2 linked regions of the Saccharomyces cerevisiae S288C genome follow. The protein of the gene in region 1 binds, or shares a complex with, the protein of each later gene. Each region holds a gene or a part of one and is shown on either strand. Other genes may lie near its edges.

Region 1 (2,957 bases):
CTAAATAATATTGGAAACTAAATACGAATACCCAAATTTTTTATCTAAATTTTGCCGAAAGATTAAAATCTGCAGAGATATCCGAAACAGGTAAATGGATGTTTCAATCCCTGTAGTCAGTCAGGAACCCATATTATATTACAGTATTAGTCGCCGCTTAGGCACGCCTTTAATTAGCAAAATCAAACCTTAAGTGCATATGCCGTATAAGGGAAACTCAAAGAACTGGCATCGCAAAAATGAAAAAAAGGAAGAGTGAAAAAAAAAAAATTCAAAAGAAATTTACTAAATAATACCAGTTTGGGAAATAGTAAACAGCTTTGAGTAGTCCTATGCAACATATATAAGTGCTTAAATTTGCTGGATGGAAGTCAATTATGCCTTGATTATCATAAAAAAAATACTACAGTAAAGAAAGGGCCATTCCAAATTACCTATGTTTAAGTCTGTTGTTTATTCGGTTCTAGCCGCTGCTTTAGTTAATGCAGGTACAATTCCCCTCGGAGAGTTAGCCGATGTTGCCAAAATTGGCACTCAGGAAGACATATTCCCATTCCTGGGTGGTGCCGGGCCATACTTCTCTTTCCCTGGCGACTATGGTATTTCTCGTGACTTGCCTGAAGGTTGTGAAATGAAACAATTGCAAATGCTTGCCAGACATGGTGAAAGATACCCAACTTACAGTAAAGGTGCTACCATCATGAAAACATGGTATAAGTTGAGCAATTACACACGTCAATTCAACGGCTCATTGTCATTCTTGAACGATGATTACGAGTTTTTCATCCGTGATGACGATGATTTGGAAATGGAAACCACTTTTGCCAACTCAGACAATGTTTTGAATCCATACACTGGTGAGATGGATGCTAAGAGACATGCTCGTGAGTTTTTAGCGCAATATGGCTACATGTTCGAAAATCAAACCAGTTTCCCAATTTTCGCCGCTAGTTCTGAAAGGGTTCATGACACTGCTCAATATTTCATTGATGGTTTAGGTGACCAATTCAACATCTCCTTGCAGACTGTCAGTGAAGCCATGTCCGCCGGCGCAAACACTTTGAGTGCTGGTAATGCGTGCCCAGGATGGGATGAAGATGCTAACGATGACATTTTGGACAAATACGATACCACATACTTGGATGACATTGCCAAGAGATTAAACAAAGAAAACAAGGGTTTGAATTTGACCTCAAAGGACGCCAACACTTTGTTTGCATGGTGTGCATACGAATTGAACGCTAGAGGCTACAGTGATGTTTGTGATATCTTCACCGAAGATGAATTGGTACGTTACTCATACGGCCAGGACCTGGTATCGTTTTACCAGGATGGACCAGGTTATGATATGATCAGATCCGTCGGTGCCAACTTGTTTAACGCTACTTTGAAGTTGTTAAAGCAAAGTGAAACTCAAGACTTAAAAGTCTGGTTGAGTTTTACCCACGATACCGATATCCTAAACTATTTGACCACCGCTGGTATAATTGACGACAAAAACAACTTAACTGCCGAATACGTTCCATTCATGGGCAACACCTTCCATAAGTCCTGGTACGTTCCTCAAGGTGCTCGTGTCTACACCGAAAAATTCCAATGTTCTAACGACACCTACGTCAGATACGTCATTAACGATGCTGTCGTTCCAATTGAAACCTGTTCCACCGGCCCAGGGTTCTCTTGTGAAATCAATGATTTCTACGACTATGCTGAAAAGAGAGTAGCTGGTACTGACTTCCTAAAGGTCTGTAACGTCAGCAGTGTCAGTAACGTCACCGAATTGACCTTCTACTGGGACTGGAATACTACTCACTACAACGATACCCTATTAAAACAATAAATTGTATAAATAAATAATATTGCAAATATAAATAAATACCCATCGATTCTGATCTTCTTTTATGTACTAGTAGGGTAACGAGTTTGTAGATTAGCGGCAGAATGAAAAGAAAAAAGTTAACTAAAAAGTAAGAACAGCAAAGTTGATTGTAGTCTATATTGCTGAAATAGATATCGGAGCTCCCGTATAATATTAAAGTGCACCAAGAAAAGGATGTCGTTCTTTTTAAATAGTCTAAGGGGCAACCAGGAGGTCTCGCAAGAGAAGCTAGACGTTGCAGGAGTGCAATTCGATGCGATGTGCTCGACTTTCAACAATATTCTCAGTACGTGTCTTGAGAAATGTATTCCGCATGAGGGCTTTGGTGAGCCTGATCTAACGAAAGGTGAGCAATGCTGCATAGACAGATGTGTGGCAAAGATGCATTACAGCAATCGCCTCATTGGAGGATTTGTACAAACACGAGGTTTCGGGCCAGAGAATCAGCTACGACATTATTCGCGATTTGTGGCCAAAGAAATAGCTGATGATTCCAAAAAATAGCTGTAAATATGAGGACTGTCTGTGCTGTTTGTATATAATAGTAACCTGCATATATAGCATTATAAGCTGTGTAGACAATTTTAGAAGTACATTTATATGGTACCCGCACCTGGGTCACGTGCATTCCCCTCACCCGTTTTTTTAGGTGGTGTCTTTTTTGTTTTTTTTTTTAGGTGGCGCGGCAACTATAAAGTACAGCAAGTGAGGTTGAGGCAATACTGGGAGTTTACACTATGGGAGACAGCTCCTAACACCAAGCAGAAAAACGACTTTTTCGCAAAGTATGTAAGGCGCTGGGTGAGCCCAGCGGACGAGGATGGGCTTAATAAGAACGTACAGTTTAGCACAGCTAGAACAGGATACAGCTAAGGGCAACTCTGCTTTTCGGGAGAAGTTAAAGAGGGGTAGACAATGATGGTAATCTTATAAACCGGCTACAATGAAGGTTGTAGCAGCAAGGAAGATGATATTTTAATACGGTTCAGGTGAAATGAAATAGCCGCCCATAACGGCATGCTCAAGTTGTAAGTCAGGACTCTAGCTTTCTACTGTAGTATCCTCTAAAGGACTGCTG
Region 2 (3,831 bases), on another chromosome or scaffold:
CAACATCATTGCCGTTCTCAGATATGTCTTTCTTTGTCGGTTGATCAGATTCACCTTGTTTTATATTAGCCTCACTTTTGGGATGAGTTTCGTCACAACATATTTCCAAAATCTTGGGCGTACAATAACAATCATCGGATCCAGGTGGTGGGTTCGGTTTATTTTTCTTGGAAGAGGGCAGCAGTATCAGATCGTCGTTAAACCAAGAATCTTTTCTACGTGGTAGGTCGCTTTTAGAATTCTGTTGGGGACTTGTCGGATCAGAAGCTACCGAATGGAAATTGTTTGCAAAAGAATGATTATTAGAATTATACGTTGCAGTATCATTATATTTTGTTAATGACGGATTATTGTGATAATTCAAGAACTCGAAATGTTGGCAGTCGGTGTACTCCTTGCATTTCTCATTGACGTGGCAATCACCACCCATATCATGGCTAGCTCCAGATGCAAATGCGGAAGTAGCGGCATCAGCAACAGCTGCGGCTGCAGGTGTTGCCGAAGCACTACTGTCGTTCACAGGCGCGCTGTGGTGAAGGTGACCATGGATATAGGTCAGGTTGTTGTAGTTATGGATGTGCCCGTGGACAATGCCTTCTTTACCTATCGTCAGAGCATCAGGCTTGGCAGAAGCAGCAGTGGCCGCACTCGTGGCCATCGAGTCATCGCGCTTGGGGGAGTCCCTGGGAGTCAACGCATCCATTAGTTCCTATCCTTCTTCTATTTAAAAAACCGTAACACATAAAAAGTAAAAGTGTAATGCTTCCGTCTCGCCGCTGGCCTATATTCACAGTGACTGCAGTTGCATCTTATATTGCCAAGCACGTTTCATCATGACCTTTAGGGTAGATGACTGCTGTCAACTACTCCGTCTGCAGTGATATATAATCATGTTTTGGGCGTTTAAGGAAGGAGAATTATTTCCAACAGTTGAATAGGAAGATCCCTAGAGTAAATCGCAGGCAATCCAGTACTAAGAAACGGCGATGACAATGGAAAAAAATGGAGGTAATAGCAGCCGTGGTGGCCAAGTAGGCGGCAAGTCTGTGTGTGTTTACTGCGGGTCTTCATTTGGCGCTAAGGCGCTATACTCAGAAAGTGCAGAAGAATTAGGAGCCCTTTTCCATAAGCTGGGATGGAAATTGGTATACGGTGGAGGCACTACTGGTTTGATGGGCAAGATAGCAAGGTCTACGATGGGACCTGATTTAAGCGGACAGGTTCACGGTATCATTCCAAATGCACTTGTGTCTAAGGAAAGGACAGACGAGGATAAAGAAGATGTTAATAAAGCATTGTTGGAGTCTGTAGAAAATCATAAGGGCGCCACTCCTATTTCTGAAGAGTATGGGGAAACAACGATTGTACCAGATATGCATACGAGAAAAAGAATGATGGCAAATTTGAGTGACGCGTTTGTTGCTATGCCTGGTGGATACGGGACTTTTGAAGAAATCATGGAATGTATCACGTGGTCGCAACTGGGGATTCATAATAAACCAATTATCTTGTTCAATATCGATGGGTTCTATGACAAATTATTGGAGTTCCTCAAACACTCTATTCAAGAACGGTTCATCAGTGTGAAGAATGGTGAAATCATTCAAGTTGCCTCCACTCCGCAGGAAGTTGTTGATAAAATAGAGAAGTACGTCGTTCCAGAGGGCCGTTTCAATTTGAATTGGAGCGACGAAGGTCACGCTCACGAGGATTGTGCTAAATAATAGAAACGTAAGTCATGTATCTAGTTTAAACGATCTGTATAGATAATGTGGTGAAAAATCCAAATTTTTAGGAGCTGTCTTTCTAAGCCCGAAGGCTGGAAAAAATAGTACTGATGGCAAAGACATCATAGCTTTAAAGTCCATTGTTCTCAAAAGAAGCTCAATAGACCATGTCTTCTGAATCAGGAAAGCCTATTGCTAAGCCTATTAGGAAGCCTGGCTATACCAATCCGGCTTTAAAAGCCCTTGGTATACCCGCCTTGAGGCTGCCTTCTCGAAACTGGATGATCTTTTGGTCTGTGTTAACAGTATCCATCGGTGGCATAGCCTATGACAAATACAAGCAACGTCAGATTCTGAGCCATGCAACAGACTTGGTGAAGCCTTTGGCAGAGGAGTCCATGGAGGTAGACAAAGTGCCACGAAAGATCACTGTTTTTATTGCACCTCCTCCAAATGATTATCTGGAGAGTTCGTTGAAAGTTTGGAGACGATATGTTAAGCCTGTACTGTATTATGCAGGGTTGGACTATGAATTAGTTCAAGAGGATAGGCAAGGGATTATTAGAACTAATGTAGCCAACAGAATCAGAGAATTGAGAAAGGAAATATTGGCATCGACGGATGGGCAGCCAGTTAAAGAGCCTAACCAAACGGTAGCAAAACCAAGTGGTTCTTCAACCAGTAAAATTTCATCACTACTACCGTTCAATAAAATCATTCAAGATCCTGCTGAAGAAGATGACTCGTTTGATCCAGAAATCGGTAAAAAGTTCAAGGAGAACTTCGACTGGAGAAACGTTATAGGTATCTTCTATACAATGCCAAAACCGAAGCATATAATAAGTGAAGACGCCCTGACAAAGGACCCTATATTATCTGGTGGTGTTATTTGTTTAGGTAGAGGCGCCTATAAGGAGTACATTGCCGGTATTCACGAAGGCTTGCTTGGACCCATCGAGAAGACCGAAAAAACAGGATCCACTGAGCCTAAGATGACTGGGGTTGTAGAAGCAAATCAAATAGAATCAAAGGTAAGTGAATCCGGTGCTACGGAACTGGTGGATGCCGAGAAAGAGACTGCTTTGGAAGAGGCCAAAGTACAAGATGATCTAAAGGTTGATGAAGAAAACAGCTCAGAGGATTCGCAAAAATTTTTGAAGCCATTTATTTCTTCAGACCAATACCCTGACCTGCAAATCGCTTCGGAATTACAAACTCCAAATGGCGAATTCATAAGAAACCCCAATACAAATATCCCGCTTCTGATTAATCAGCCGTTATTGGTCATTCCAATACCTAACTTGATAGGTTTTACTACCATTCCAAGGAGAATACATCGTTTTTACCAGAAGCGTTTCTACGTAGAGGACGTGTGTTCAAGTGTAGTTAACTGTGTTCGACAAACCCGTATAAGACCGTTTGATATTGCAAAGGATATTGATTTGGCGAAGGACGAAGAAAAAGATTGGCCACAGAACTGGGTCAAACAGGGTAAAGAAAAGAACAGCGAATGGACCCAAGAATTAGTATGTGATCCTAGAATCACGAAGCATATGTTTGTTTACGAAAAACCACCCAAGGAAGAGCCAGAATCAGATATTTAATTGGATATATATTATGTTTTATCATCATGCACGATCGACGTTATGTCTGACATATACCAAACCCTTTTCGAAGATTTCCCTTTACTCATGTTGAAATAGTTTTTATATATGCACACATATACATATATATAAAATCTGTAAATATAATAAAATGTGTACATTGTAAAAGAATCCAAGCACAACTATTATTAGCATTATGAGTATTTTTTTCAAGCCGCCGATTGATATTGAGATCCTTTTCGATAATGAGGAATCTCGCAAACACGTAGACATTGCAACAAGATCAAGTAATTCCAGTTACAAATCAATGAAGGAAAGCTTGCCCGTCTATGAAGATGGCGAATCCCTTGGTGGAATTGTTACTTTGAGAGTTCGGGATAGTAAAAAGGTAGACCACTTGGGCATAAAAGTGTCCGTTATTGGATCCATTGATATGTTAAAATCTCATGGGAGCGGTAATTCATCTTCTAAAAAAGTTACCTCTAGCACATCATCTTCCT

The links.
Region 2: TIM12 (region 1) and TIM54 share a complex: the UniProt entries of both Saccharomyces cerevisiae proteins name them as parts of the TIM22 complex.

What each region holds. Positions count from the first base shown.
Region 1 is NC_001134.8:426,581-429,537, reverse strand, and holds TIM12 (Tim12p), read left to right. Parts: upstream 1-2,053; coding exon 2,054-2,383; downstream 2,384-2,957. Other genes in the region: acid phosphatase PHO3, read left to right, coding at 437-1,840; YBR090C (uncharacterized protein), read left to right, coding at 2,480-2,664. UniProt on the Saccharomyces cerevisiae protein: Essential component of the TIM22 complex, a complex that mediates the import and insertion of multi-pass transmembrane proteins into the mitochondrial inner membrane.
Region 2 is NC_001142.9:332,371-336,201, forward strand, and holds TIM54 (Tim22-complex subunit TIM54), read left to right. Parts: upstream 1-1,894; coding exon 1,895-3,331; downstream 3,332-3,831. Other genes in the region: ZAP1 (Zap1p), read right to left, coding at 1-703; LOG1 (Log1p), read left to right, coding at 987-1,724; retromer subunit PEP8, read left to right, coding at 3,528-3,831. UniProt on the Saccharomyces cerevisiae protein: Essential component of the TIM22 complex, a complex that mediates the import and insertion of multi-pass transmembrane proteins into the mitochondrial inner membrane.